Oreochromis niloticus: one gene and its partner. The protein of the gene in region 1 purifies or fractionates together with the protein of each later gene. This does not show direct contact. Links are inferred from orthologs where the notes say so. Each region holds a gene or a part of one and is shown on either strand. Other genes may lie near its edges.

What was found.
Region 2: the proteins of map3k14a (region 1) and timm13 purify together in Homo sapiens (affinity purification with mass spectrometry; 3 studies listed by BioGRID and IntAct, with this or other methods). This does not show direct contact. The link is inferred for Oreochromis niloticus from reciprocal best matches to the Homo sapiens genes MAP3K14 and TIMM13.

Annotation. Positions count from the first base shown.
Region 1 is NC_031969.2:25,782,496-25,799,083, reverse strand, and holds the start of map3k14a (mitogen-activated protein kinase kinase kinase 14), read left to right. Parts: upstream 1-9,943; 5' UTR 9,944-10,085; coding exon 10,086-10,110; intron 10,111-10,173; exon of another isoform or gene 10,174-10,301; intron 10,302-11,575; coding exon 11,576-11,848; intron 11,849-11,931; coding exon 11,932-12,013; intron 12,014-12,128; coding exon 12,129-12,348; intron 12,349-12,609; coding exon 12,610-12,993; intron 12,994-13,086; coding exon 13,087-13,221; intron 13,222-13,313; coding exon 13,314-13,443; intron 13,444-13,877; coding exon 13,878-14,006; intron 14,007-15,309; coding exon 15,310-15,414; intron 15,415-15,508; coding exon 15,509-15,666; intron 15,667-15,756; coding exon 15,757-15,907; intron 15,908-16,123; coding exon 16,124-16,438; intron 16,439-16,530; coding exon 16,531-16,588.
Region 2 is NC_031986.2:44,771,242-44,787,606, reverse strand, and holds timm13 (mitochondrial import inner membrane translocase subunit Tim13), read right to left. Parts: upstream 5,612-16,365; 5' UTR 5,507-5,611; coding exon 5,387-5,506; intron 5,038-5,386; coding exon 4,969-5,037; intron 4,463-4,968; coding exon 4,364-4,462; 3' UTR 3,689-4,363; downstream 1-3,688. Other genes in the region: tmprss9 (transmembrane protease serine 9), read left to right, coding at 1-77, 703-967, 1,053-1,166, 1,251-1,419, 1,499-1,764, 2,121-2,257, 2,832-2,993; enc3 (ectodermal-neural cortex 3), read left to right, coding at 11,168-12,190, 12,284-13,030. UniProt on the Homo sapiens protein: Mitochondrial intermembrane chaperone that participates in the import and insertion of some multi-pass transmembrane proteins into the mitochondrial inner membrane.

The DNA of each region.
Region 1 (16,588 bases):
TTTGGTTTGGTTTCTCAACTCCTGTTGATCTTGGAATTTGTGGAAACAAGTTAACAGACAGACAGAGATCCCTGGGGGGGGGGGTTAGGGTGAAACATCTTATTTGGAATTTGATCTCACCGACATCTACGCCTACATTTTTAAAAAGCTGGGACAGCAGCATGTTTTGTAGTTCCGAAAGCAAAACTATTTTCTTATTCTTGTTTGACATTCTTGCTTGTTTTACGGTCATGGCTTTCTTTGTCATATTTTTTTTTTGTTTCATGATGCATAATGTGTGACTTGAAACCATTGTAGGTGTGCCAGTTTATCACCTGCATTGTTTTTCTGCAAAGCCACGCTGTTGTAATACTTGTAAAATGTGGCATTGTCTTGCTGAAGTAGGCAAGGCCTTCCCAGAAAAAGACATCAACAGGATGGCAGCATGTCTAACTTTCACATTTAACCTGTACAAATACACCCTTGTATCTTTAAAGATCTTGGCTTTAATTAAAAGCAAATGTTAGTTTGTCACACCAGATTACATACACAATACACATGGAATGGAAAGAGGTACACAAACAGTAGCTATATAATGTATGTAGCTTTATTTAAAACATGGCTGAAACAAGCCAGAACATTTCCAGATAAAACACAATGGCATCCACACCTAAGGACGACTCAGAACGTTTTTCAGATGAAGCCACAAAATTTTATTTGTAAAGCACATTTCAAGTTAAACATCACAAAGTTCTTCAGAACAAAAATAGCACAACATCAATGCAAGTTTAAAAAGCTGACTTTTTCAAAATCACAGTGCTCAAGCTCAGTGGGAGAGAGTTCTGTTCCCTTTAGTTCTCAGCCTTGTCTGATGCACAACCAGCAGGCCCATAAACTCTGAGCTTCCTCAAGGCCTATTTTAGGGATATATGGATGTAAAAGTTCACTGATGTACACTGCTGCATTTTCATGCAGACCTCTAAAAGTCAAAACCTGAATCTTAATGTGGACTCTAATGTTAATGGGTAGCCAGTGCAGCTGAATGAGTAACAATGTGAGCACTTTGAAGACTTAATCAAAAACCTCGCACTGGCCTTCTGAACAACCTGCTGATGTTCCAATGAGGCTTTGTTGATACAAGTAAACAATGAATTACAGTAATCTAAACATGATGAAATAAAGGCATGAATAACAATTTCCGAGTCAAATTGTGACACAATGGAACTCAATTTGACTGTATTTCGTAAGTGACAAAAAACAAGAGTGAACCAGAGATTTAAAATGAACATCCACAGTGAAGGCAGAAGCAAAAGCTAACAGAGGGTTCCTGGTAGAAAATTTAACAAATAGAACCTAGGGTTCTATTACCTTAAGTACAAATATGTGACTGAATGTCATTTGCATAATAGCAATAAGAAATGACATCAAAAGTGCTTGAGATGCAATGAAGAGCAAGCAGCTATGACAGTAAAGCCCCCAGAACAGAACCTTGTGGCACTTACTTAGAAGGCAGCCAGAAAAACAGATCATTTAGACAGATAGTACCACTCCAAAACAGACCAGTATCTCCAGTATCCAGTATCTCAGCCTATGAAGCATAATGTGATGCTCAAGGCAGATATCTAAGGCAGAGGTCAAGTCCAATATTAGCAAAATGAAACATTCTCCTACATTACTTAACATTATCAATACATTATTGAGATTTCACTGGGAGACTCTAAGAAGAGCCGTGTCAGTGGGTGTTACATCTCTCTTCACTTGCATCCCAGTCATGGAAGCACTGGAGGTAGTTCGTAAGAGATTACAGGATGACCCCAACCTCAGCAACAGGACCACTCTCAGCATCGACCAAGTGTGTTTGCTTTTGGAACTGTGTCTTCATTCCACCTATTTCAAATACAAGGGTCAGTTCTACAGGCAGAAACATGGGTGTGCCATGGGCTCCCCAGTTTCGCCCATCGTGGCCAATTTGTACATGGAAGAAGTGGAAAAGAGGGCTTTGTTATCCTACCCTGGAACACCACAAGTCATTGGTTCAGGTATGTGGATGACACCTGGGTGAAAATCAAATCTCAGGACGTACCACAATTCACGGATCACATTAACTCAGTGGACCAACGCATCAAATTCACCAGGGAGGATATGAAAAGTGACAGGTTAGCCTTCTTAGACTGTGAGATTTCCATCAGTAATGGGGGACATCTAAAAGCTGATGTGTACCGGAAACCTACGCATACAGATCAGTATTTAAGGTTTGACTCTCATCATCCACTGGAGCATAAACTGGGTGTCATCAGGACGCTACAACACAGAGCGAACACCATCCCTACAGACACAGCAGCCAGGGAAGCAGAAGAACATCACATCAAGAAGGCCCTGAGTAAATGTGGTTATCCCAGCTGGACCTTTTTCAAAGCTGGGAAGGCGCCAAAAAAAAGCTCCAGCCGATCCAGGAGAGAAGGACAACTGCTGCCTAAGGGAAAACCCTCAGTGATCCCGTATGTGTCAGGAGTATCGGAACAGCTGAGGCGCATTTTTTCTAAACACCGGGTCTCTGTGGCTTTCAAACCCCAAAACATGCTGCGCCAGAAATTGGTCCACCCCAAGGATCGGGTCCCCCGACACAGAGTAACATAGTGTACGCTGTTAAGTGCCAGGAGGATTGCCAGGATTTATATATCGGGGAAACCAAACAACCTCTGGCGAAGCGGATGGCACAACACAGAAGAGCTACCTCGTCAGGCCAGGACTCTGCAGTCTATTTACACCTACAGGCCAGTGGACACTCTTTCAATGACGAGGATGTACACATCCTGGACAGGGAGGAACGCTGGTTTGAGCGCTGAGTCGAGGAGGCCATTTACGTGAAAAGGGAAAGACCATCTCTGAATCGAGGAGGGGGCCTAAGGGTACATCTGTCACTATCTTACAATGCTGTGATTGCAGCCATTCCCCAACTCTCTGTGAATGGTACTCATGGCCATTGATCAGTGGGCTTTGATTAGTGGTTGTTGATCAATGGTCATGAGAATTTGCATAATTATGATTAAGGAACTGACCTCCCAGTCCATTGTTCCTTCAGTGGGCTGGCTTCAGTCATTATGCAAAGGTACTGTTTATAAGATTGGGGAAACCTGCAGTCAGCTGAGACTGAAGAAGTCACTTGGATGAGTGACGAAACGTTTCTCCCACTGAAAATGCTACATCCAGATGAACAGAATCAACCTTTAGAGATTTTAAGCAAATGATTTTAATCTTACAAGGTTTTTTATTACCCATTTAAATTAAATTGCCTGTCTTTAAAAATGAAACTAACATTAGATTGAAAACTCAATATTTTGGCCAGCAAATTTAAATGACATAATCCTTATTCATTGGTGGTGGCTAATAAAAATGTCATTTAGAGATGCAGAAGCAGATAGACAAACATTTTAAGAAGTTAGATATTCATGAGAAAAAAGAGACTGACATTGCGCAAAAGAGTAGTGGAAATAGTATTAATATATAATGTCTACACTATAACTCAAAGAAAGGAGCAGTAAGGTATAATACAGAAATCTGTAAGTATTTGTGTAAACCTATTACCTGACAAGTGTATTCATCTATTATAGAGTAGTAGAAGAATGTAGGAATGTAGAACTGCAGGAAAGATTTCCTGAAATGTTCTTTAGGACAAGTGAGTTCTGCTGCATCTATAGTGCATTATCCTGTTCAACAAGTGACTGAAATGTTTATAAAAATAATGAGCGTGAAAGATACCAATTTAAACACACAACTTCACATCAGTGAGGCTCAGAGGACAATGCATGCCTTATGGCCCCGTGTATTAACCTGTAAAAGACTTAAGTAGGTTATAGCTCCATCTTGTGGTAGATTTATATAAATACAGATATTTTTCTTACAGCATGACGTATGAGCTGATGATATACTGTATTAGATTACTCATCATTATTATCATTTATTTATCCAGGTAAAAGTTTCAGAGAGATTTAGTGAGTGAGTCACTGAGTCAGTCTTTTTCAAGATAGACCTGGCCAAGAGGGCAGCAGATGGTACAGCAAATACAACACATAAAAATATAACAATTACAGAAACAAACACGAATGATAATCAGTGAAGACAAACTTGTGGATAATATGCAAGAACAGATCATTACAAGAGTAATAATAAAAACAGTCCCTCTGACCAAAAGAGCTATTCTTCTGCTCCTTTAAATTGGACTTAATTTCCCCCATGGTAGGACGAATCAGCCCAAGCAGAGATTTCCATTTATATTTTCAGATGAAAACTAACCAATGGGAAAGTCTATGGATAATGGCTACTTGGCAGCACCATACAGAGAACAGTTTGGACAGGAGCACTTCAGTGTGTTTTAACCTGACAAATTATGATATGCAATGATACCTAGATACTTATAACATGTAACCAGTTTAATTTCAGTTACTTGAATCCTTTTGCTCTTAGGAAGTGTAGACAACAACTTCTTTTGCCATTTGAGATTAACATGAACTTGGATTTAACACAAACCTCAAAGGCAGACAGCAGAAATTTAAAGATTTGCACTCCTACAGATAAATGGAATGCAGTATTTGGATAAAATATCACAAAGGTTATTTACATATAGAGAGATAAAGAGTGGTCCCAATATAGATCTCTGAGGAGCTCCTTTGGATACTGGGAGAAACAAAGAAGAAGACTCAGGAAAGAGGACACACTGTGTTTAACTGACAAGTCATTTGAAAACTAGCTAACAGCTTTTACTGATAAACCAATATTGTTCGCTCTGTTTATTAACATTACATGCCCAACTGTGTGATCTGTAGTTTTTAACATATGAAGGACCACCTCCTCATCACCTCCCTATCATCAACAAAGGGTATATTTCTATATTTCCATATCACCACTGTTCCAAAGCATAAGGTTAAAAATGAAAAGTTTGTGGTTCATCCAGCTTAGGAAAATAAGGTTTAAATTGATGTGGTCTTGAATTCATTGTATCCAACAGCTTTAAGGCCTTGTGGATCTCCATGACATTCAGAAAAGAAAAGCTGAAGAGTTGAATACAAGATTCATTTCGAGCAGTTGCAGAGATAACCTCCTGTTCATTAAGCTGTTTTAAATCTTTATGTAAAGATTCAAATAAAGACCCTGGAGAAACCAAATATTTATTAAAGCCGTTAGGAATGTCACATTTTTCAGTTAAAGTACAGATGTCATCAACAACAAAAAGGGTGTTATATCGCCGTAAGAAGATCGTATTGTTATCCAGAATCTTTTAGAATCATTAAACTGTTTAGTGTTTTGAGGTTGAATTATTTTTGAGTTAAAAATCAGCCAGATTTAGTTTTTCTGGCCTTAGCCCAGCCAGCATCACTTTCTTTGAGGTGACTGGACAGCATTTTACTCTAAATTTGCGGATAGGGGCATGGTTATTTAATATTTTAATGAAAATGTATTTCCATGGCAAATTAATATCACTAATCAGGTTTTATTCAAGTTGCAGTCCTATGAATCGCGGAAGAAAGGTTGCTAAAAAATCTCGTTTAAAAAACAATTTGTTGTCTTGATTTCAGGAGTATCGATTACCTGACTGCATCTACAACACAGTGATTACTGACATCATTTGCAAAACACTAATATGGGAATATTTATGCGGAGAGTATGTAATAAATAAATAAATGTGGTGATGATTTTTCTGAGCATTTAAGATTTGGACAAGTTGGACTGCAAATTAGTTGCGTGACATTAATATTTGTAAATGTAAAACTGCCTGAGACAGAAGATAGTCAGTACGAGTTAAAATCTCCAGCGAGGAGAATTTCAATAAGATCTACTGTAGATACTCATCTTGGTAAAATACATCATAAACGCCTTATATATTAAAATACAAATATCTATATCTCAGCAGAAAGCAAGCAAGGCCTATAGATATATAGTATTAGGTTATTAAAACATAAAACAAACAGACAAACAAAGGCTTTTTATGTGCAGTTTATTAAACAGCTCCCCTTTCACGCTGCATGACCGCTTATCCTCTTGTCTTTAAATTAAAAACAGACGCATACATGAAGAGAGAGCATTTTGTCTTCAAATTAAAAGCACAACTATAACTTACAGCCACACGCAAACATTGTGCTCAGTCCGAGCAACATTTAAACATACTGTTACAGTCAGTGATTAATAATAGCGCAATATGTCTTTGCATTCTGGCGCTAAATGTTGTTATTGTAAAAATTAAGGGAACCCAAACACTACTTCGAAATTCAAGCGGAAACAGGAAAGAAGCTACATGATGTCAAGATCGCCATCGGCCGACGCCTAGTTACGGGAAATACGGTAAGTGAAGAATATATAGTATTTATCATAAACGGTTTAACGAAGTTAAGAGCTTTCTGACTTCAGTGTTTCCCGCTGTTTGTCGAGAACTCGATTTCTTGATTTACATGTTTGACTGTTTAACGAATAGTTCAAACATTTTGGGCCCAAGTTTTATGTGAAATGGCGGTGAATGTGGCTAGAAGGAAGTTGGTGCGCGTGCACACAATAACAGCGCGTGTATACACATGAAATTACTGTTTAGTCAAATTATGTTCATTTTTAAATGAATCGCTAAATAGTTAAACATCAAAGGTGTTATCAAAGGTAAATTGTTATAGAGGCTTACTGTAGATTTTACTGTACAGAATATAATTACCGTCGTACTGCTCATACTTCTCAGTGGTACCCTCATTTTATTTTTTATTTTTTGTCACAAAGGCTGTACTAACTCTAAACATGAATAGGTTGATGTTCTTACCTGGTAAAAAAATTTTTTTAAGAGCATATTAGTGATAGAAAAAAAACTTGCTATATTTGTTATAGGAGTCCTCATAAGAATAGCCGTTATGTATGTTATTATATGTTGTCGCAATATATGCAGTCATATATCTTTTTATGCTCTTATCTGTTTCATTTAAACATTAGAGCCCCCATGTAATCTTGATAGAGCTAAACAATTACATCTACCAGATGTAATTGTTTACATTAGTCACTCTTGGCAGGTCCTATTTTTCAGGTCCAAGTTATGCTGGGCCTCCATACCGCAACAATGCTTGCTAGATCTTTCTTGGCCCAGAGTCAAACTCCTGGCCTGCATTTACAAGCGAATCAGCACTAGTCCAGGTCCACCCTTAAACGAAAAACCTTTTGTTCCTCCTGTGCAAATATCCTGTTCTCATTTTCTTTGCAAGATAGCAGGAAAGTGCAAATATGACTGTATTAAGATGAGCTCACTATATAGAAAATGTATAGAAAGATTGCAGCTTAGTAGAACATTATTATAATATACATGCTTTTAGAGTTGTTGACTTTGGCCATGTTTAGTAAACTTATGTTGAATAGCATTGGGAAATGGAGGGGAATGTTTTTCTTGAGGTGTCAAATACGCATTTCTAATATTGATTCATGAGAAAACTGTTTTCCGAATTAATTTTAATTTGTCAAAGAACCCAGTAATGTTTACAGAAAAACTAGGATAACATTAATAACAATGGCTTAGCTCAGAATTTTCCTGGGTTATTATTCTTTTAAAATGCCAGGAGTTTATAGAACATCTCAGTTTAATGGAAATAATGTGCAGCAAAGAGAGGACTATGCATTCTTACTGTAACTGACTGTTTCTTCATTGAAGTTAATATTGAGGAAGTAACTAGAAAAAGGGAAGTTGTTAGACATTAGACAAGGGGTATGACTGAGTACTTGGAGATGCATTTAAATGTGTGCCTGCAGATGTTTTTTGCAACCTTGTGGATGTGTAGTTGAGGACTGGAATGCTTTCCTGAGAAGCAGCCACCGGTTCTCTTAAGGAACTCTTGCCTGTGTATTCTGAGTCCCTTTTAGCTGTCGTTACTAAAGGCTTTGGAATTTCATTAATCTCTGTGAGAGAAACAGAGCAGCAGAAGCTGTACAGTCACCAACTGTATGTTTTGTTACAGTTTAGTTAAAGATGTCCACAGCAAAGATCATTATGGATTAAAGTTTATAGTGTGCACTATTAGTTACATGTTTATTAGATATGTGTAGACATTTAGGGTGCAAAACTCCTCTAAAACATAATTGTTTAGGTTTCTGATGACACTGACAGGGAAGTGTAGGTTCAGTTTGCATGTAAATCAAAAGACTTTAGTTTTGATTACTTGACCTGCAAAATTAATTTGCAGAATTTGATAATCAGTCATTGCCATTTCTCCAGTTAGTAAAATGCCATGCTTGTCAGTGCAGAAAGTTGGAATAGAAGTTAAAAAATGACCTTAGAGTTGCACAGACTTCCTTTGCAAAAAGTGAAATATTCTCAGGACTGCATGAGCAATATATGGCAATAGTGAAGATCATTGGAGATTCATTTCAGGTATAGGGTTTCTAGAAATGATGTTTGGAATATGGTCAGAATTGGTGGTGTGCCCAAAGCTGAGACGTATAGCCCTATTCTTATCTGTTTTACAGTAGTACCAGGGAGCTGTCTTTTGGTCTGTCTGTTTCCAGATTCATTCACAGCTTAAAACAATTTGACCACAAATGAATGTAAATGAATTTTTGGACAAAAACCCAAAACAAAGCAGAATTTATGTCAAGCTTTTAATAATATGAAGAGGCAATTAAAAACATGAAATTTAAAAATCAAAACCAGCAAATTGCAAAGCAAACCCCCCCCCCAAAAAAAAACACCAAAAAAAACAAAAAAAACAAAACAAAACAAAAACACTGGTCACTGTGGTATATTAAAAGAAACCTTAAAATCTTGAACCTTGAACTAGTAACTTTTGACTGTTTTTTTGTCACACAGTTAATCTGTTGCACATAATGTTGTGGCTAAACTGACTAAATATTTCAGCTCTAGACAGAATGAGTAAATGAGAAAATGATTGGCAGATGAACTGATAATTGGTACTAATTGTTGCCATTTTTATGAGTCATAATATGTGAAGTTGGTGACTAATAGAGTACCAAAAACAAAATTCAAAATGCTTTGACTGTCTACAATGTCTGTACCTGTGTCCTCAAGCTTATGTCGGTTTAGCAGAGATATTGTTGTCATGACAAACAGTTTCCTTATCAGTAGGGGTGGAGTGAGCAACTTACATTGAGCTTTTCGATTATGGCATGTACCAGAACCTGTCAAGTGGTGTTCCGAGTTTCCTGTAGTGGTTTTTGTATGACTAAGTTGTTTTTCTGCTCAAGAGAAAAGCAAGTGAGATTATTTCAGATAGAGCCATCAGATTATTGACAGCTCATACGCTTGCCTCAGTCTAAACACTGTTTTCGGAAATAATTTTTCGCAAGAAGATGCTCATAATGTGAGTTTTCACACTGCCACATTTTCATAAAGAAAGAAACTCTTTGTTGTTTTAACAACAGGACATATAGTGGAGAATGTGGGCGTGTGACATGACATGTGACGTGCTCTTGAATGTTGGCTTGCTACAGGGCACGCACTTATTAGAATATCAGAGCAAATGAAAGGCCACAAATCCCTTCACATTTAGTGGTGTGAATGTGTACAGAAAGTTGACTATCCATTCCGGGTGATTATCAGACTACCTGGTTTAATGTGCACACAGAATTGAAATTGTTTTTCACCCAGTAAAGAAACTTTTTTTAACTGATTTTTCGCTTTTAAACAAATTTGAATTCAGTGCTCGGCTGTACTAATCATATCCTTTGCTTCTTCCTCACTAAAACCTTGTATCTTGATAGTCTGCAAAGATTGAAAGGGTTTAGATATTACCACTACTCTCATCACAGTTCATAGTTCACTTTTTTTTTGTCATCATACCCATAAGCAAACCTGTTATCCTTTAATTGGTAGTACTCAAGAGGGCAGAGTAAGTAAACCAGCCCTGTTAGAGGGAGCAGAAGGAGGGGGGAATATGGGGAAGTGTAGATGCATTTCCCATAAGTCATAGTCAGCCAGCTCCTCCCCCCAGTTGGCTGAAAGCCAGCATCAGGAGAGCAGAAAGCAGAGCAGCAGCAACTGAGCCGAGTCGTTACTGAAAAGTCGAACATGAAGGCACGCAAACGGAGCACCTAGTTCGTGTCGATGACAGGTTATTCAGAACAAATACTTGAGAATGCAGTTCAGACTGGCATCTATTGGTATGTCTGCCCGCTACGTCGGCTCACACATACAGAGTCTGTTTTTGTGCCTGTTTGTTGCAGTGGGGTTTTCTCTATTTCCTTTCCACGTAAATTCATTGGGGTGTGGTGGTGCAGCGTCTTAAGACGGAAGTGACAGTTGAGTTGCTTCGCTCTAGATAATCTTGCGGTGCATGAAGTCTGCGTACAAGGTAGTATCATTAATAAACTCAAACAGCTTTAACGTAATTTTGATTATGTTTTGATCTTATTTTTTGCTGTATTCTTACTTGTATCTGTACTTTATTGGTGTTGTCAGCAGCAAAAACATGCAGCGTGCATGTGATTGTTTTAGTCAAGAATTTAGGCTTAATCTTTATGTGAGAAGCTACTAGTGTAATGGACAAACTGACGCAACTAATTGCAACTGTAGTGCTCTAAATGTAGTTCTCAGTTTGTGCCTTTTAAACTGCATGTAGTTTTCCTGTGTTGGTTTTACAGTCTTACCTGTTGTGCTGGTAATAACTTTTAAGGTGTGAACAGGCAGCCATGCAAATCTTTATTTCAAATTAGTCCAGGCTGTGCAGCCCAGGCATTGCCTAGGTTACTTCCTCTGACTGAAACAGAGTGCATGCACTGAGCGACAGAGTTTGCAACTGTGAAAACAAGGCCGGGGTTTAATTTCCTGTCTCATCTGCCCACCTCAAATTTCACAGTTTCAGTTCATCTGCGCTCCTAAACATGTGTGGCGCAGTAAAATATGTTAAACTTCAAACGAGCCATAATGAAGCAGATCAAATTATTTTTGCGTTTATGCATGGGTGTATATTTCTGTCATAAACCTTTCATCTTCAGTCAGATTTATGAGCTTTTCTGTTGTGCTCGATTACAGCAGGCAAATGGCACTGTGGAAAGTATTTGCAAAGTGCGCCATAGATGCAAACTAAGAACGAAAAATTAAGAAAAAATGAACAAAAACAAACAGCAAAATGCAATGCAACCTTTAACCTGAGATGTGTTTAGTTTTCAGTATCCATTTGTTCCCCTTTTTAGGTATCCTCACTCCCACGCTCACATTAGCAGATAAAAGTCCTTTGTTACATTTTGGAGAAATGGTTTATGCTTATACAAACTTCACAACATTTCTAAAGGTCACTCTTGATGAGTCGCAGCAAGCATCTGACTAACTGAATAAATATGACGCACTGTGAGCTCTGAAGTAACATGTTCATCAAAATCGAAAGCTCAGTTTATAAAGGAGCCAAATATGTTGCCCTCGACCAAAGACAAATTCACTAATTAATATTTAAATAATAATACTAAAAAGTTACTTTTAACTCTCTGGTTATAGCCACACAAACAACCCAGGCGTCTATAACTAAAACCAAATTGATTAACTCTTATTTAAGATTAAAGACAAAACATAAAGGCAGGATACAGTTGATAAGGAAAATCGTTATTTATCAGCTGCTTGTGTCTCTTGCAGATTTAGAAGATAACATGGCGGTGAGACAGAGGCTCTTCAACTCAACAGCGCCTTTCACTGGACCACCAAAAGCTGACCTGAAGGGGACATATCCATCATGCTCCAATGCAGAGCAGGAGACTGAGGAGGCACAAGAGGAGGGGAAGGATGGCAAAATGGGATTTACGCAAAAGTGGTCTGCTGATAAACTCACTAAACTCCTGACACATGGAACTGCAGAACAAGTGGAAGAAATGCAGTTCAAGACCTCAACCATTGTTGCTCAGGCAGAATGTAAATATATCTTATTTTTATAGTGTATCACATCAATGAACTTTCCTGTGAGCCAATTTTACATTAACACTGTGCTCTTTTAGGTGAAACCCAGGACTCCCAGGAGTTTAGCCCTTCCTGTTATGAACGATCCTTCCGTGCCTTCCCTAAATGCTTGACCACCAGGTAAGATCTTGGGGACATTCTCCGCATTATAAATTAAATTTCTGTTCAAGGGTCTGTGCTGAATTGTGTAAACATGCCTTAAATTCCTTTTGCTTTCTTCGAATTTCTTTTGAAGTCTTTCATCTGACCAAAACAATGTGGCGTGCCAAACAATGGCCACCATCCAGGAAGCAAGCACATCAATACTCTCCCCAAGAAAGAGTACCCATAGGAGACAGAAACGTAAGGGGAAGAGGAAGAAGCAGCAGAAGAAGAAGGACAAGCAGCGACAGAGACGTCGAATGCCTTCTGGAGTGCCTGAACAAGAAAGTGGAAGTTCTTTGATCCCGATCCTGGTGAGGTTACTCTTCACATCTCTCTGAGTCTGAATATTTAGTATACTGTGCTGTTAAAAGAATTTAAATCATCTTCAACAATAGGGTCCTAATCTCTAGAAGTCCCCATGTAAACATTACCCTTCCTAAATTGTGGAAGTGAAACATTGAATTCCAACAGCCCCGCCTCTTTTGGCCTTGAATTTTTAAGCCTAGAGCAAATTTGGAGGATGTAAACACCATCTTGTCTAAAAACTTTTTTTCTTCTTCTTCTTCTTGTAGGAGGACTCTTCTGTTGAAGAGAGAAGCGATCTCAGTACCTCTTGCTGTAGCAGCTTTGAAAGCTCAGAGGAAGACGACCGAAGGGCTTCTTTTTACAGCCAACAAGTTTACAACAAAGGCTCAAGCTGTTCCCCTTTGAACTGGCCAGTTTTGGGTAACCTCTCCAGTGTTCGGTCATATGAGCACAACAGCAGCTCGGACTCTCTTAGCAGTGTGGGAGACTGCTCACTGGCCCTTGCTGGGCTCAGGGGCTGTGTCAGTCAGGGGGATCCATGCTATGCAGGGCCATTTTTCAAAGAAGTGGAGAGGGAGACTAGGGAAGACGAAGATGAGTTCTCGGAAGCTGACTCTGTTAGCAATGAGGGACTAATTTTTTATCATGAAGTAAGTTCTGCTTTGCTTCAGTCTGCTTGCTTCAGTATGTTTTGGTTTGAAAATTGGCTGAACCAAACTAACCTGCTTCTCTCTTCCTGACAGAAAATTCAGCCTGTGGACTCAGAGTACAAAGAAGGGAGAGAGTATGTCTTCCAGCACTTCATCAAGGAAGGCTCCTATGGTGAAGTACACAGTGCTGAAGATGTGAACAGTGGGTTCAAATTTGCTGCCAAAAAGGTAATTTACAGCATACTGTTTTGTATAAAAACGGTCTTGTTTAAAAGTATGTACATAATCTTAGTATTTTATGTTCCATCTTTTTCTCAAAGATCGCCCTGAAGAGGTTCAACAGTGAGGAGGTGGGTGCGTGGAGTGCCCTCAGATCTCCTCGTGTGGTGAAGCTCTTTGGAGTGGTTAGAGAGGGGCCTAATGTCGTCCTTCTGATGGAACACAAAGCTGGTAAACAATCCCACTATCTTCCCTTCACACACAGCGTATGTTGTTGATACTAACTACTCCTGTTCTCATTTAAACTCAAGAAACAGATGTGATCAATTAAGTGCACAAACATGTACATGGAACTTGAGTCGACTGAGTTCAAGTGTAGAAAAATACGGATGTGATTAGTGTTGAGATGTGGAAGTGGGTGTTTCTGGGATGCTTGAAATGACTGTTGACCTTACTCAAAGAGTGTTTGTCCAAACTGCACCAAACGTGTGACGCGAGCCTTCCTGATAAACATTGATATACCTGACACATTTTTCCATTGTCATTAAATGCTGGCTTCTTTACAAGCCATAACCCAGAGGAAAAGATTAATCAGATGCTCTCTGTTGGTAAATATTACTAAGACAACAGTCTTTGTCCCGCTCTAACGTTTTGTGTTATTCCAGGCTCTTTGGGCCAGCTGATAGTGGAACGTGGTCGACTGCCAGAGGATTTAAGTCTCCACTACCACTCTCAAGTTTTAACAGCGTTGGAGTACTTAGTGAAGAAAAGGGTGGTGCATCTCGATATTAAAGGTATATTATACAAATGCCATACCTTTGAAAACTTTGATGACTCGAATGTTAGCCTCATATTTAGTATGTTTGGTGTGCCCACATTATGACTGAACAGCCATTCAAGTCATTCATCAACACATGCGGTTATTCATGACACGTATCTTAAGAGTGAGCTTTTGTAAGAATTTTAGTGTAATTTAATCAATTTACAACAGAAAATAAATCCACAAAGTGAAGTTGTTAACTTTTATCCACTTTTTATCTCTGTATAATTTACAAATTAATAATGACTGGGACTGTTCCTGTGACTTCCTAAATATTGGTGATGTTGTCGACTGATAAATTATGGAATGAAAATGGTAAATCCAAAAAAGTAACAATATATCGATATTGGCACTGCCTCACAACACTTTCATTGTGAATATTAAGAGGTAGAGAACAATAGTAATAACAGTAAAACTAAGAAATGTGTCAGCTTGACTTTTACTTGTTGTGGTAGTGGAAAGTTGAAAAAAAGACAGAGAGAAAGTCAGATTTGTAATTAGTTCTCATCAGAGGATTTTGTGTCTATGTGCAGCTGTTGTTTGGAACACAAGTGTCATAGATACAGTCTAGATTTGATCTTCAAGCACCTGGGTTGTGAAACCAGATTACCACAAAGAAAAAGACGGGCTGGGAATTTCCCACAGTGTGACTCACTGCTGTTCTGTAGACACGGCGCATGTGCACAAAGTCAGGAGAGCGAGAGAGAAAGGGAGAACGAAACGGAGTGAGGGGGGGATGGGACAAAGAGCAGGAAGTAGTTTGAAAGAGAAGAAGAGGAGAAAAAGTACAATGGACAGAAAGAATACAGAAGATGAAAATAAAGTGGAAAGGGTTATATAGAAGAACAAAGGAAACACAAAAACAGAACAGAAACTGAGATTGAGGAAGAGCAAAAAAGACAGAGAATAGCTTAAGAGCTGACAAGACATGTTTTGTGGTGTATCTCAAGCGCCATCTGCTGTCTGTAATTTCTCAGGAAAAGCTAGACAATAATACCACAGATCTTCTTTATCTGCGTACGGTTTGTGACTAGTTTCCACATCCATTCCACATTAAAGAGTTGAGCACAGCAGCTGTCCCTGTGTGACTTCATATTTTCCATTCATTTGGCTCCTTTGTCTTAGACTGTTTTGTGTCTAAGCAGCTGCCCTGTTTCTAATTATGTCATCTAAAAACTACACAGCACAAGTCATGGAAATCAACCAAGCACCACTGACATCACACAGCAGCACACAGATTAATGCAATGGATTACTGACTCTGCTTGTTTCTCACAGCCGACAACGTGTTGCTGTCGGATGATGGTAGAGACACCTTCCTATGTGACTTTGGACATGCCGAAAGGCTCGACAATCAGGGTCAGAGCCTCAGTAGGTCCAAAGGTAAATCCTTTTCCACTGAGTAATTTTGGTAAGATGTGCAATTTCTCCACTTACATGTCAGAATTCACAATTTTCTCAATCTATTTGATTACAGATCTGAAGGGCACAGAGACTCACATGGCCCCTGAAATAGTAAAAGGAGAACCCCGCGGAGCTAAAGCAGATGTGTGGAGCAGCTGCTGTATGTTACTGCACATGCTCAATGGTTGTCAGCCTTGGACAAGATACTATAATTGTCGCCTTTATTTGAAGGTATTCTTCGAATACTTTATTGACAGATGTTTGTTCTTTAGAGTACTCGTATCAAGCCTTGACTGAATTCCCTTGGTTGATTGGTTACAGATTGCTAACGAGCCCCCTCCTCTGAGAGAGATCCCACCTGACTGTGGCTCTCTCACTGCTGAAGTTATAAAAGCAGGACTCCAGAAGGATCCACTGAAGAGATCATCAGCATCTGACCTCAAAGAACAAACTGACAGAGCTCTGAGAGAAGGTAAAGTAAATCTGCACTGCATCTGGGTTGATGGCGGTTTCAGCAGTGAGTTTACAGACAATTGAGAGTTTGTTATTTTGCATTTATATGGTATGGAATGCTTGGTTTAGTGACCATCAGTTGACCACACTGAGTTTAGTAATACCTGCTATACATTTTGAAGTCAGTTTATCGTAGGTACATAAGTTCATTTAATTTTTATTGATTTGATTGCAGTTGGAGGACTCACCAGCCCAGTGAAGGGTCCCTACTTAGAGCCCTTGCTTAACACCAACAAACCAGGTGACTCCATGCAATTCATCACCAGCAGTGCTGACTTTGAGGATGAAGAGATGCACCAAGAGTCCGTGGAAAAGCTGATCACAACAGGGAGGAGGACAAAGAAACTGACTGATGAAGAAGAGGCAGACGCTGAGAAGTCGAAACGAGGCTCGCCTCATGAACCACAAATGCTGATCTCTGAGCTGAGCCACAGGAGGGACAACAAAATCACCACGGTACCTGAACTTGAGCTGCGGAAGCTGGTTGGAGGTGAGGTTTTCTTTAAGCTGTATTTAATTTCAGGTGTTAAGTATAGCAGATGCTTGAACTCTGTATGCTTTTGTTTTTTTGTTTGTTTGCAGATTTCTATCTGAGCAGCCTCTCCCAGCTTCATTCTGCTGAGATGCAGGAGCAGTTGTT
Region 2 (16,365 bases), on another chromosome or scaffold:
CATCTGTGTACAGAGGAGCGATCACTCCAAACATGATGTGTGCTGGATTCCTGCAGGGCAAGGTGGACTCGTGTCAGGTCAGTGGTGGAAACGGTTCATATGCGGTGGCTGTAACAGGATGAGAAAGGGGGCGTCTCGATACGTACACTGACGATCTGAAGGTCTGAGGATCGCTAAAAATATTCACACCGTTCTCACCTTAAAAACTGAGACCTATAAGCCATCTGTTCATCTCAGCATAACCGTGTGGTGTTAATTATACAGTGAGAACACGAGGCTCAGTCTTAGAGAAATCCACTTCAAAATATCTTATGTTGCATAAATTTTGTAACATGTTTTGGAAAAATTAATTTCTCTGTATGTAAAATGTTCTTTTTTTTAGACAAAAATATGAACTTGTAAGAATGTGTAAAATGCACTTATTACATAATTGTTTCAACATTTAAAGCAATAACTGTGAATTAAGACAGCTGATATCGTTCCCCTTCTTGGTCGTGTTGTCTCCCTAAGAAAGACAAAATGCTCTTAGACATGTCTCGCAGTAGCTCAGTGAGTTTCAAGGTTCAGAGCTGATGCTTAAAATCGTGGTGATTAGCCTAATGATGCTAACATCCTGACCAGCCAGAGCAGATTACCTGATGCTGAATAGTTGAAAGTTACCAAAGATGACACTTTTCAGAGTATCATGTGTGTCCTGTGCAGGGGGACTCTGGAGGACCTCTGGTGTGCGAGGGGGCCCCGGGAAGATTCTTCCTGGCTGGGATAGTGAGCTGGGGTGTGGGCTGCGCTCAGGTCAACAGACCTGGGGTTTATTCCCGTGTTACCAGGCTCCGTAACTGGATTCTAAGCCGGGCCGATCCCACCTCGGTTCATGATTATGTTCCCACTGTGACAGAGTTTAATACCCCACCAGCACCCAGGACCTCAGCTGATAACGTGTCGTCTGCAGCAGCGCTGCCGCTGTCTGGTAATGTCAGCCTGAAAGCTCCTTAATCTTAAGAGCTTTATCAGTTACTGAGATTCATTTATTTAATCTCTCCGTGTTTTTCCAGCCTTGAATTGCAGTGGAAACTTCAAGTGCAGCTCCACTTCCTGCATCAGCAAGGTCAACCCGGAGTGTGACAGAGTCGCAGACTGTCCCAACGGGGCCGATGAAAGAAACTGTGGTAAACTTAAAATGCACGAAGGACGGTGTATGAGGAGGAATTTAAGGGTCATTCTTCTTAACTGCGTTTTTTTTTTTTTTAAAGACTGCGGCGTGCGCCCTGCACTGGGCTCCCATAGGATCGTGGGCGGAGTCACGGCTCGGAGGGGAGAGTGGCCTTGGATCGGGAGTCTTCAGTACCAGAGGCTTCACAGATGCGGTGCCACCCTCATTCACAATAGGTGGTTACTGACTGCAGCGCACTGCTTCAAAAGGTATTTCATACATTTATATCAAAACTCGTTTCACTGAAAGCTCAGGAATGATTCTAATATTAATAAGTTACATCTATAGTGACTCTACTCCCAATAACTGGGCCGTGAGCCTGGGATCTGTGCTGCGATCTGGGGTAGGAGCCCTGGTCGTTCCCATCCATAGGGTAATCATCCACCCGGCCTTTAATGGCACCAACATGGACCATGATGTGGCTTTGCTGGAGCTGGCCGTCCCAGCCCCGATGTCTTACACCATCCAGTCTGTCTGTCTTCCATCACCAGTACACCGCTTCTTAAAGAGCGCAGAGTGCTACATCACAGGGTGGGGATCCATGAGAGAGGGAGGTGAGAGATGAACCCACAAAACTAAACGTCCTGCATTTAGAGGTCACACAGAAAAGAAATGAAATGTCTTTAGTAAGAAATAAAGGCAGGGGAGCACGAGAGGCGAGATCATTTTCACGTTATTGACTTAACTCAGCCTTCAGAGGTAAGAAGAAAAGCAGGAATAGCTGCGTGGGCTGTTCGACCTCTCACGACTGAATGTGATATGAATGCTTAGCCTCTGACTTATCTACCTCTGAAAGTCCTGCTGTTAAAACAGGACAATGTGGATATGGATGTTTGTCAGTCTCCATAGCAACAAAAAAACTGGTACTGTTGCGATCACACCTGTTCTGTGTATAATGCTCTTTCCACAGGTTCATTGACCAACCTGCTACAGAAAGCTGCCGTGAGCATCATTGACCAGACGGACTGTCAGCAATCATACGGTAGCGTTCTGACTTCAAGCATGATGTGTGCGGGATTCATGGCGGGAGGTCGGGACACCTGCTTGGTAAGATGTTCACACTTCCTGTTTTACAATCGTTAAAAAGTTCCTAACCTGGAGACTTGGTTAACATCAGGCTGGTGCACTGCATGTAGTGCTCGGAGGCTGGAGGAAATATGACTGTGCTACTGGTGTCTTTACAGTGAATGGTTAACCAGGCTGGAGCAAAGTCAGCCTCGATCTTCACCCTTTAAAGGGTTCTCCGCTTCGCCTTTGGAAACAGGCTGACGATAAATTATGGTTTAAAAACAAGAATCAGATGTAAGAGAAAAAAGAAAAAGAATAAATCTAGAAAATGTGACCACCTCACAAACATACGCTGATCTGATAGAAAATGTACGCTTTCTTTCACAGCAAAGGCAGGCCACCCCTTTGCACCCTCTCCATAATCTTCTTATGTAACGAAACCCTCATGCATTCCTGTTTCGGTCAGAGCACCTGGCTCAGCTGCAGACTGACTGACATTCTCTTTACTCCCCCGCTCCCATACTCATCTTCAGTCGGCTATTCTGCTCTTATAAATGCATTAAAGTTATTTAAATTCCAAATGAAACTGTTGATCTGTTTTTTGATATTGCAGGGAGACTCTGGAGGGCCGCTGACGTGCCGTCAGCCCTCCGGTCAGTGGTTTATTGCTGGAGTAACCAGCTGGGGACACGGATGTGGCCGAGTCGGTTTCCCGGGAGTTTACACTCGTGTGACGTCTATCAGGAGCTGGATATCCACATACCTACCGTTCTGATGAAGGAAGAACTGTGTCTGCAGAGAACTGAGGTCATGCTAAACAGCCACACACAAATACTCAGTGTACACAGCACTGACCTTTGTGACCCTCCGGTCACAGGTGCTGTCGGTAGTGCTGTGCTTTTACCTGAACTGGGCCCATCCTCCTCCCACCTGAACTGTGGCTTAAACATTCAGCTAGCACGGATCATTTGGAGTATTTATTACATTTATTTATTGTCATGGATGGTAAACACACTGCACATGGCCTTGTGTGGAGAACATTCATTTATGGGTCAATATAATGGTATTGTGATCTTTTACTGTAAGGTGGATTTGTGGGGAAAGTCTACTCTGTACAAAGTCAGTGACGTGGGACTCGGTGTCGTTCTGTTGGTGGATATTCGCTCTTTTGATCAGAAACGAGAGAACACCTGATTGATGAGATTTATTATTTTTTCTTGGGGAAAAAAAATATCACTGATTGCAAAAGATGTTCACAGAGCTTTTCTGGCTCCTCACACAAACTCAGGAGGTTCCCAGATATCTAACAAACCGCATGCACACGAGGCTGAGAAAGGTGCAGTACCCCGTCTAGGGCGAGGGAGACCCCGCTGAAACAAACCCACTACTGTGGAGGGCAGCAGATAGAGTGACAACCAGAAAACATGTCAGACAAAACAGTGTTGTTCTCCAGCTGTACTTTGATATAGGTCTGTTTGGAGGCTTGTAAATGTCAAATTCATGCTGGTGAAAACACCAAATTGCTCCTCGATTCTTCCTGATGATTTTTAAGCACTTTTTTTCTTTCCTTTAAGGGCTCCAGGAAATATTTAGTCTCGAAGCTCAATCACCCGGCAAAGAATGTGAAACAGTGTTTAAAGGAGAGTCTGCAGTGACTGGGAGAAGTTTACTGTTACTGGTATTACAGGCAGAAGCATTCGATGGGCAGGCAGATGAGTCACAGTAAGTAAGGCGGGCCTATTGAGCCAAACTGCATCTGGAGTCCTTTTAGCAGCACAGCAGGCTCAGCCTCCTGTCGCAGCGTCAGCAAACACTTTCAGACACATTCACACTTAAGCAGGTAATTTAGTGTTTCCAATCAACATGGCAAGAACACGCAGAAAATGAATTATTATATTTCTAACGTAAAACACAATCGATTTAACATTGGTAGTGAACTGTTCCTCAGAGCAGAAAAACTGTCCACAGAGACACTGGTATGGCTGCAGTCCACAGGCTCTGCTCTGCCTGTCACAGGTATTGTGAAAGATGTTGCGCCGCTGTCGTGGCAAAACTCGTGCACAGCGTGGGCCCTCCTGCAGAGCACTGCATCGGCCCTCGCTGTGTGCGGCAGCCTGAAGAAGGGAAAGATGAAGAGAGAGGAGTTCACATGCGAGCTCTTTCTCGCTGCAGTCTGGAGTTGTATGTTCGGGACACGGTGTTCCAGGCGTCCATATACCGGTCCATACACATGGCGATACACTTCTGTTAGGGACAAGGCAAAAAAAAAAAAACACGGGTTAAAAGTCCAGAGAAATAATCCACTCGTGGTCTATAAAGAATTTAACCAATTTAAAACTGTGATTAATACCAAAAAAATGTTTCTGATGCACTCCTCCTTGTTTTCAAATATAAATATATATATAACAAGTTTATCCTAGGAGCAGTTCTGCAGGGAGAGACAGACCAACGCAGATCGACTCTAACCTGGAAACGAGACACTGATGAAGACTCGGGAGTCGATACATGTTGGTCCATCTTATCCTACGATAAACCTGTTATATTATTCTACAAGATGATGGAGTACCTCAGCAACACCTTATGTTTCTGGTATTGCGCTTGCATTTGACCCACTCAAAAACACCTGTCAGGTAAGCCTTTAGAGCCCTGCAGCACTTTCGTTATGCCCTCCTGTTTTCTTAAAAACGTGATCACTTCTTTGCTCGGAGCAGCAGTGCATCACTGAAGCAACTCAGTCCGCCAGTGCATACCTGCTCAGAGTTGTCCAGTGTGCTTCCAGGCTTGCCTATGCACTTCTTGAAGCATTTATCGGTCATTCTCTGAAATATGAAAAACAATCTTTTATTAGCATTTACAACTCTGACAGCAGCAGCGCAGAATATTTGCATGACTTTAAAAAAAAAAAAAAGACCCTCCAAAGTTGGTCTGGCTCAAAAGTATCTTTTTATGTCAGCAGCATTTCGGCTCGTGTGTTTATATGAGCCGTGTATTAACATGCTGACAGGATCCATAAACCTTACAGAAGTTATTGCGGGCTAAAAAATAAAATAGTCTTACACACAGGACGAAGAACAAAGCCATTGTACAGCTTTGACCCGTAAAGGTAAAAGCACTCAGCACTTACTCAATGTGTGCTTGCTAGCTTAGCAGCTGTGTTCATTGATTTACCTGCAGCAGCTCCTGAGCGTTAGCCACCGCGATCTGGACCTTGACCTGCTCCATGATGGTACCGGTGTCCATTTTTCCGCCGGACCCTCCTGCTGAGAAGTCTGAACCAAAGCCGTCCATTTCCGCCACAGTCGTGTTCTTCAAACTCACCTTTGCGGAGCTTCTTCCAATACACGTGCAAACAGCCGCTGCTAGCCTTAGCCGGCGTTAGTTTCCGATGCCCTTGACAGAAGCTGTGCCTGTTGCGTCATTTCCGTGTGAGCCACTCGGCGTCATGGGAAATGTAGTTTTTTTTTCCCAACAAAGGTTGTACTGCTACAAGTAGCATTTCTCCTACAGATCAGGTATAGTACTACTATTTACATTTTAACATTTAAAAACGGCATTTTTGTGGGACCATGTTGGCGATACAGGGAAGTACTGTGCAGGTTTGCATTTAGCATGTAAAAGCCAAATAAATGGTATTTAAAAGCAACTATTTAGCTCTCTTGCTAAGTAAATAAAATAAGGATGAAGCGGAGCTGAAGTTTATGCAATACTTTTTACATAGTCCTGTTATTTCAGCTGCTCTCCTGTCTGTTAATCATCATCATCATTATCTATACAATGTTTACTGAGCCAACGTTAGCATTTTTCTAGCCAATTAAGAGACACGTGTAGTGTCACTTTACGCCATATTTTCCCTTGCGTGAAAGTGAAGAAATTATCCAGAGGAAAAAAACGATATAAACCGCCGCTAAATTTTCTGTTGAATAATTTGATTCAAAATTTGCAAAGCGTGTAACGTTTAGGTGACTTCTCCCCTATTGGTTTCAGAGTTAGCGCATTAGAGTGTTGGACATAAAAACCCGACTTTAAAAAGTGCACATCCTGCAGAGCCGGTCAAAGTGCGGGACATTGTCTCAATATGCGGGACAGCGGCGCAAGGGGTAAAACATGCGGTGCAGTCCAACATGAAGGCATCTGGTCACCCCTACGGTTAACAGGTTAACACCTGATCCACCTTAACAAAAGTGCTTTTGTTTGCCACATGGTGGAGCTGTTCTCCGCTAAATACTCCCTCGAGTTGGACTAAGTTCAGTTAGGCTCTTTCACAGTGTGTTATCAACAGTTATCGATACATTTGTGACCGTTCATGAAGCAGATATTCTTTGTGCAGATCAACACTATGTGAGCTCAACTTTCCTGTCACTCCACATAATAAGACAATGACTTTAATCTGTAACGAGGCTAATTTCCTCTACTGAAATTAATTTTTTATTCATTTATTTTCCACCCATCAGTCATAATTTTGATTTCTTTTATTATTAACCAAAAACATAATAATAAAGTATTTAATGCACCCCTTAGATTTAGATTTTGAGCTGCTCCTTTTAAAGGATGACAGTGTGTAACTATTAAATAGTTACACACTGTCATCCTTTAAAAGGAGCAGCCAGTCTTTAAATTGTAGTCTGAGCACAAGTTTTCCTGATCCTCTGTGTGTTACTTTGATCAGGATACACTTCATCTTTTTAATAACTAAACTGCATTTCTCTTCCATCTATGGATGGGCTGTCACTCTAAAAGGAGGGACAATTCTGTCAAATCTACTTGTTTAAAGATAACATCATTTTCAATAAATGTTAGGACTAAACATGTCAGCTGTCCTTGATAAGCAGGTCATGAGCCAAAACATTTACTGCAGACTAAAATAAATGAAAAGCCAGAGTCGACTACAGGAATAGAAAGTCAGAAGAAGCTCTGTGCTCTTTGCGTTGGGGCCCAGGGTTAAGGATGGCCTCTCCAAGGACCCCCAGCTTTATGTTTCAGACTCGATGACCTCACTAAGAAGACCACCTGCCTTGAGCGAACAAATAAGTGGTACAGTGTAGTCAACAATGGAGTGGCGGTTACTGTCATCTAAACAGACGCTCACTGAGTGGTTTATTGCACTGTCGGGGGTGTTGATGAACAATCGTAGGGGGTCTGATTAGTGTTGCGCCTGCCCAACAGTAATTAATGACCAGTCATACAATGCTTGGAACAACACACACACACACACACACACACACACACACACACTCCACAGACCGGTTAGGCTTCAAGCCCTGGGGGTGGAAAGGGCCGGGGGAGGGGAGGAGTGGGTTAAAGTACAGCAAAATGAATTAACCCTAGATTACAATCATGAGTTCATTAATCTAATCTTCTTAAATGCTTAATCTCCTTCAGGCACACTTGTGTGCATGAAAGCATTTGGCTCTGCCAGCAATAATGAGCAGCGGCTACAATGGTTATAAAAATGAGAACTACCAGCCAGTTTATGACGGTCAGACTTTGAGGTATTGCACCAGGATGTTAGGTTACTCCAGGACGTTCCGGTGTATAAGAAACAGACATTTGCTTACTTGATAAATGAGATGCACTCAAATGTAAATCCCCTGTCAAGCAAATAATAGGAGAGGAAATGGTGGATAAAAGGGAAGACGGCTTAAAACACTGCTTCTCTTATCCACACAAACTCTGACAGCTAAGCAGCAGCAGCAGTTTGTAATCTTCAAAAGCAGCTGCTGAGCGACACTAAGAAGGAGTTCAAAACAGGAAGAGAGGCAGAGGAAACCCGAGATGTGTGGCACCCACTCTGGTGGACTTCAGTCTTCTTGGTGCACAAACAAACCAGTGTTGTTTAAATCCATGAAGTCTTTTATTACGCTTTTCCACAGCAGACACTGTGGCCTGTTGAAGCACGACAATCACTAATAACATTATCAGAAATTCAAATCCATTTAAATTCAGCCACTGCAACATTGTGAAACTGACACACCTTAACAGAATAAATTGTTCACATCATCAATCACACATGTAGACATGCCCTGACATGTCCCAGCAAAGGCTGGTACTCACACAGATGCTTAATTGTTACATTTTCTCACTTTAGTCTCTTTTCTAAAACTTTGAGTTGTAAACAAGTACAAGTGGGGTTGACTTAGACGACTCCTAACTGACCTGCTTCTCGTCCTGATAGGCTGCTTGGAACCGAGGCGCATTCTTTATGAATTCTTGCAAACCTCACGAGTGCTTAATTCCTGCAGAAAATGCCAAGAATTCAGCTGAAGAAACAATCTTACAGCCCTCAACCTGCAATCATATGATCATTAAGACTGTTGTTCCAGAAATTTTACTGATTGGCCGTCTTGTATGGTGTGCGAAAATCCTTTAAGAACTTCAGTATGCAGTTTTCTTACTCTAATCATTAATTTTTAAATTCTTTGTCAACCTGTATATAGTTTACATTCCAAAATTAAAGTGTACACATAGTTGATCTGTCCATTTTCTCCCACTTATCCTATTCGGCATCAGGAGGGGGCTGCTGGAGCCCATCCCACTGCATGGAACAGGCTCTATTATCTACATGGTTGCTATTTTAGTGGGTTTTAGTTTTGTGTTAAAAATAATCAAAAGTTTTGGAATTTACTGCCACAGTGTTTATTATGGAAGATTTGTGCAACACTGAGACCTCTGTGTTATAAAAATGGTGCAAAATAATGCAATAGCTGACCGAGTTGGAATAAAAATCTGAAAAAATGTCAGTAATTTAGGCAAAATGTTTGTGTGGTTTCTGGTCTGAATTGTCTGTGGGTGGGGATGGGTGTGCTGGATGGCCCTGTGACTTTCTACAAAACCTTCCAGAGAGCAGATTATTAAATCTTACATGATGTAACCGCCACGTAACTTTTCGTGGTTGGTTATTTACAACTTCACACCGCTGTCTTTCACAATCAATGCGCACCAGTGCAATTCTGGGTTGAGTTTTTCCAGTAACAATAGTTATTACATGAAAGCGTGTTTATACTGTTCATCCTGGTCTCATTTGACTCAAAGCTGGGTAAGCAGACTGGTCTGTGAAATGAAGGTCATTTTAAATGATATTTAGAGCTGTTTTGTGACATCAAAGTGTAAACATCTCAGCAGCAACAACTTTCAGGAAAACCTTTCCTAAACATCAGCCTGTATTACACGTGTATTTTTAACGCTGTGCGTATTTATGATGCCGCCCTGGATAGTTTTTCCTCCCAGTGATTTTTTCTGTCTATCGTTATGTCGTCTTTTTTCACAGAAACCCCCTTTCTATTGTCTTGTTCCGCTAAATCCTGTACAAACACAGGCTACTCGGCGTTCATTGATAGCGCTGAAATGGAGATTTTCTTCTTTACGCGCAAGCCAAGGAAAGGCGAGAACAAAGCAGGCAGGTGAAACATACAGTGACAGGTGTTTCGGGTGATTCATGGCGATGGTTTCTGAATATAATGACGGACACTGATCCAGGTTGGCAGGAGAATAAAGGAAGGCTTTGCGCTGATGTTCGAGCCCATTGGCCGGCGGGAGCAGGAGTGGGAGGAGCCAGAGGAAACACCACCACTGCTGCTTGGACTCTTTCTCTCTGCGCTCAGCTCGTCGCTCTCCGGCACGCTGCTTGGCTTCACCCACAGAAAACAGCGAGCGGCTAACTTCCCAAAAATTCTTTTGTTTCGGGCTCAAACCCAAGATTGTGAAGACAGACAAATGGCTGAACCGTCTCCCGCGAGTTTAGGGTGTGATACAGCTTTAAAGTCGGGAAGCGGACTCGCCTGAAGTGTGCCACAACTTCAAACACAAACCCGACGACGGGAGGAAGTTGTAGCCGAGATAAAGAAAGGAGTCGGGATCGCTCCCTTTCCCATCGAGGTAAGATCCAGTCCTACCACGGCGATCATGCGTGTTTGTTATGACTGAGCTGTAACAGTGTTTCCTCGGCTGATCGTAGCAGCCTGGATGCTTTGCAGCTGCTAACTCGGGAGGAAAGTTGAGCGCATGCTGGAAGTGCTGACCAGAGTTTCACATTTACTGCACAAAACGAATTGGATTTCACGCTGTTTCCCCCCCACCCACGGAAGTCCACCGTCCCTCTTTCAGCTGGGTTGAATAGCCGATTTAAATTTATCTGCCGTGAAACAATGGGCGCTTTAAAGCGGAAGATATTTATTTGGTCGTTTTCAAGTTATATGTGAGCTCTTTGTTAGCCCACCGCGCCGTGCCAGGACAAGTGGGTAACTGAAATACTTCCTAGAATTTTTAAACAAACCATATAACGTCACTCCCACTCAAGCTTCCTATATAAACGATCAGAAAATGCTCCCCCCTGTTTCTCTCTTGTTGCACTGCGGTTACATAATTTTATCCTAGAGGAGCTGCTCTGAGGTGTCACATCTTATGTGGGCTTGAAAGCTCCTGTATGTGAGCCAGCTGAGAAACAGAACAAGCTGGCAGGAATTTATTGGCTTTGCCGTGTTTGGAGGTGACTCACAGCCCTGAAATGGAAGAGGGTGGAAAGATGTGATACACCCAGGTGTTGCTTCTAGCCTAACCTTAATGGTTGAAGGTTATTCTAAGAGCCGGTTGTTCTCACAGGTCTGACAGTGATGCATGCTTTATAGATTTTTGCACTGTGTAAATCACTGGTGCACTAAAACACACCAGGTTTACGTGGGAGTGCGCCTTATCTGATCTTCTTTCATCTCTCCACAGTCTGAAGTCCGTTTCCGCTGCAGCCCGACATACTGATAAGAGTATTTCATGTAGAGCCCATTCATCGGGTGTTGGCAGAGTTTTTGTTTAATCATCAAATGGGAGGAGTGTTCACATCAAAAGATGTTGCATGACATTTATATCTGGCCAACTGTAATCAAAATAGAAATGTTAGAATTAGCTTTAAGAGTAACTTATCCATGGTTGTTTGTCTCTGTGTTCCAGGTTCAAGTCAAGATGTCTGTCAGCAACCACGAAAACAGAAAGTCTCGCTCTAGTTCTGGCTCAATGAATATCCAACTCTTCCACAAGACGTCCCACGCGGACAGCCTGTTGACTCAGCTCAACCTGCTACGCAAACGCAGAGTCTTCACAGATGTCGTGCTAAAGGCCGGCAACCGTTCCTTCCCCTGCCACCGGGCCGTCTTGGCCTCCTGCAGCCGGTACTTCGAGGCCATGTTTAGCGGCGGGCTCAGAGAGAGTCACGACGGTGATGTCAACTTCCACGACTCTCTCCATCCGGAAGTGCTGGAGCTCCTGCTTGACTACGCTTACTCAGCCCGGGTCATCATCAATGAGGAAAATGCAGAGTCACTGCTGGAAGCTGGAGACATGCTTCAGTTTCATGACATCAGGGACGCGGCAGCAGAGTTTCTGGAAAAGAACCTTCACCAGTCCAACTGTCTCGGGATGATGCTGCTGTCCGACGCCCACCAGTGTCAGAGACTGTATGAGCTGTCGTGGAGGATGTGCCTGGCGAACTTTGCTACTCTCTTTAGGACAGAAGACTTCCTAAGCCTCCCCAAGGACAAAGTTCAGGAGCTCATCCTTAGTGAGGAACTGGAGGTGGAGGACGAGAGCCTGGTGTACGAGGCCGTTATCGACTGGGTCAAGGCGGACATGGAGAGGAGGCACAGCGAGCTGCCCGAGCTGCTGCGCTGCGTCCGCTTGGCGCTGTTGCCTGAATCGTACCTGCTGAAGAACGTTGCTTCAGAGGAGCTGGTGATGTGCCACAAGGTGTGCCGGGAAATCGTCGAAGACGCCGTGCGGTGTAAGATGCGGATCCTCCAGAACGATGGGATCGTAACCGGATTCTGTGCGCGTCCAAGAAAAGTCAGCCAGGCCCTGCTGCTGCTCGGAGGTCAGACTTTCATGTGTGATAAAGTCTACATGATCGATAACAAGACCAAGGAGATCACCCCCAAAACAGACATCCCCAGTCCCAGGAAAGAGTGCAGCGCCTGCGCCATTGGTTGCAAGGTATTTATGCAATGAACCGACTTAAATGTGTCATTTTTCTTTTTGACCCCTCGACGATGTAAACACGCTTTGGTTTCAATCTCTGTCCCTCAGGTCTATGTTACTGGAGGACGTGGGTCTGAGAATGGAGCGTCCAAAGATGTCTGGGTCTACGACACATTACACGACGAGTGGTCTAAAGCGGCGCCGATGCTGGTAGCCAGGTTCGGACACGGTTCCGCGGAGCTCGACCACATGCTGTACGTAGTGGGAGGACACACTTCCCTCGCCGGATCCTTCCCCGCCTCTCCGTCTGTCTCTCTCAAGCAGGTGGAACAGTACGACCCTCAGACCAATAAATGGACCCTCGTGGCCCCGCTCAGAGAAGGAGTGAGCAACGCTGCCGTTGTTGGCGCCAAAAACAAACTCTTCGCTTTTGGGGGCACCAGCGTAAACAGAGACAAATACCCCAAGGTGCAGTGCTTCGACCCCTGCCAGAACCGGTGGTCGGTGCCAGCCGCTTGTCCACAGCTGTGGCGATACACGGCAGCGGCCGTGGTTGGCAACCACGTCGTCGTGATCGGCGGTGACACAGAATTCTCTGCCAGCTCGGCCTATCGGTTCAACAGCGAGACGTACCAGTGGTCAAAGTTTGGCGACGTGACAGCCAAGCGGATCAGCTGTCATGCAGTGGCGTCGGGAAACAGGCTTTATGTGGTCGGAGGGTACTTTGGGGCTCAGAGGTGCAAGACGCTAGACTGTTACGATCCAGCGTCAGACTCCTGGGACAGCGTGACCAGCGTGCCCTACTCGCTCATTCCCACTGCCTTCGTCAGCACATGGAAGTACCTCTCAGCATAGAGATGCACTGACTCTCGGAGGTTTTGCGGTGAGTAATTGTAGCTTCTTAAAGTGACGCAAACAAACAAGATGTCAATTACTGTATGTGTGCTATTCATAGTTCCCCCTTAAATCTTCAGATAATGTATGGGAGCTGGCTAGCGTAAAGGACACTGTTACAGTGTTACACTGTTACAGTGTTACACTGTTACAGTCCAGGTGAATGCCTCTTTAAATCGTACAAGTTCAGTTTAAAGACTCTTCTGTGTTTTCAGGGTTGCTAATGGTTACAGTGGTTACACATTATCTAGCTGCTGTGCCGGCTGGGTGTCGGATAAACATGGAGGAGTCTTGGTTTAGAGAGCACGAGGAATGTCAGCGGTGCTGATAATTACAGAGCGAGAGCTACACAACAAGACACTGACACTGACGGGAGCGAGGTGGAGAGGCAGGGATCAGGTCTGTGCTTGTAGTGAACAGCAAAAGGGTGCAGGGAGCTCTGCAGGCCCGGTGCTGCTAACGGAGTGCCTGTAACGAGTCGGTTTGAAAAGTCGATGCGTCACGTTCGCTGTGCTTTAGATAAGATCAGAGACATTCTGTTTGTTAGCTCGTGTGAAGCAACACTTAAGATTTCGACATTTTACAGGACGGGGAAACAAACAAGTCCTCGACTTGATCCCAGGTTTTGAAGTATTTTAAAAAAGGAAAAAGGAAAGATGAATTCCATACGTGCTGATGAGTTTTTTCCACCGTAACAAACAGTCAAACCGGTCATCTTATCAGGAATTCAGGAACAGAGAAAGTCTAAAGGGTATAAAAATACGACTGACTACAACAACTCAAGAATAATGGAGCCAACTGGCCTGAAGGGAAGGCAGGGACAGTTTTCAGTTTCATGCGAGTCTATCGATTGATGCTTTTCTCCTGAGGCGTTTTCAGCTTTTACATGGTGAAGCGCAGTCAGCAGCTTTATTTATTTATTTTTCACACGTTCCCAGTGGTTTGAAATTTCACGAGGCCCGTGCTGTGACCTTATTTCAGTTCTGGTGCGATCAGTGGAAAACAGCTGAATCCTGCAGCAGTTATTGAATTTGAAATTAAAGGGTTTTATCTTTATTACAGTAATAAAACTGTAAAGAAAAAAACAAGGAGGGGTTTTACGACACTGCAGCCAGCAGTCGTGTAGTTTAGCTTAGCACAAAGAGTAGAAAGAGCTAGCCTGGCTCTATCTGCTCTGAAGCTAACTAAGTGTTTGCATGTGACTCTGTAAAAGTAACTAAAGTTGGAAAAGGTCCAACTAACTTTTAGTCTTCATGCTAACTTAATTGTTTTCTACAGAGACTGTAAACAAAAAATGGACACAGCTAATATGACACCACCTGTTTCTTTGTAAATGTCAATTACAAAGTTTCAGTTTCAGTCTTCTGGCAGTTGCCATCCCGTGTTATGGAAAAAAATAGCTGTTGTGATGGAAATTGAAATTGTCTGTAGAGAGCAAATGCTTTCACTCCTGGCTGTTTTAATATGGGAGTCTGAAGCCTAAGCAGTCACACGAGGATCTGTGTTTTTGTTGCCTGCACTGAGGACATTAAAACAAAAAAACAAGCAGACTTCAGAGAAGCAGGAATGACTGCTTGGCCTTCAGGTCTCCAGTTGTCCGTATCCTCAAAGTATAATCCAGGCATAAGTGGACTGACTCGCTTTTGGGGCCAGACTCAAGTGGCCTCTTGAGAAACTACAGGTTTTGTTGCTTTGCGTTGGTTTCACTTTCCAGCCGGGGGGTTACTGCTTGGTCTCCTGGCTCCTGCTTCATATGCTGTGCGCCTCACCATGAGACTGAGAGATCGTGATTAAGAACCAAGTTGACTGAAACTAGACGGACTCGATCAGATAAACATAAATACAGCTGTTCTCATATGTACTTGACGAATGTTTGGCTAGCCAATAGCCAGAGTTGATACAGCTCAAGTTAAAATTCTCATAGAGCCGTCTCACTTATATACGTATGCGCATATTTTGTTATTTTCTGTTTGACAGACCCAGGTGCATCCTGGGTAAATCCTCCACAGTGCAAAAACAACTGTAAAGGCACCTCCTCTTTTTATTCTGCCGAGGAGTTTGAAAGTAAAGCAGAAGCAGAAGTGGAGGCTTATGTGTGACTTGTGTCGACAGTAAACAGCTGGAGATGATGGAGCTGGGGGCTTAGCATTATGAGGCTGCTGGTATGGGCCACTGTATCCATGGTAGCCAAGGTTTCTGGGGTGGGATGGAGACAGACAGGCTGCCTGTGAAAGATCAAGGAACCGCGTCTTTACGAACCCTCGCAGTTACAGTAGCCGTCCTGCTGCTGACTGCCTTTATGTTTAATTACTGCACAGATGGAGAAAGCTCAGATTTCCAGCTTGTTAAGCACAGTTCTTCCCCAGACCCTTGTTGACTTTTTCTCTCACACACCCAAGAAAGGAGGAGGGGGCAAAGTTGGAGCAACATACTGACACAAACGTACGCACAAACTGAAGGAGAGGAGGAGATAAGTGAGTAAGACCAGGAGAAACAAAGCTATATTTTCCACCGTTTGGCAGCCGAGTCTAACGCCTGCCTAAAAATACGTTGCTCCAGAGCTTTCAACTTTCAGCCGGGGTTAGAGAGAAGAATACTGTTTCTGCAAGTGTGTGTTTGTTCCCTCCCAGCAGTCTGGTGAGACTTTACACAATAGTAAAATCACTTGTTTTTCACTTACACACACACTGCTGGCATTGCCTTTCCTAGTAAAAGCCAGCCGTCCTCACTCTAATTTGGGAGGAATGAAGGTGTGGCTTGCTTTCCCATTAGTAAAGATTTGTTAATGTCGCCTTGTGGTTTGCGTGGCCTGTATGGGATTACCAGCCGTGCTGTGCCTTTCTTTTTCTTTTTTGTCACCACCTACTGCAGTTTGTTGCCCTGTGCATTTCCACCAGATGTGACTAACCGCAGACTTCAAGGCCAAGCCAGAACCCACTGTGGACGGGGGAAGAGTATTTGTAAAGGCTCAAGCGTTACGGCTCGTGTTTGTTCTGGGAATGGGAGTAAGAGCCTGTGACGTTCACAGACGGGTTTAAAACACGCAGAACTAAACGCGCGTAATTTTGTTTAGACTCTTTTGATCGTATGTTTAGTGCGTCTTCTGGGAAATGATAAGCTGGATGGCATCCGGGGGGATAGCCTGGTCAGTCGTGGGTGCCAGACTACAGGCAGACAACATGTAACAGGAGATCCCGCTCTCTAACCACTGAACTGTAATAGCTTTGAAATGCCTGTTATGATGCCTGAGCCTTTGCCCCCCCCCAATTCAGCTTTTTAACGGCTTTAACCGACAC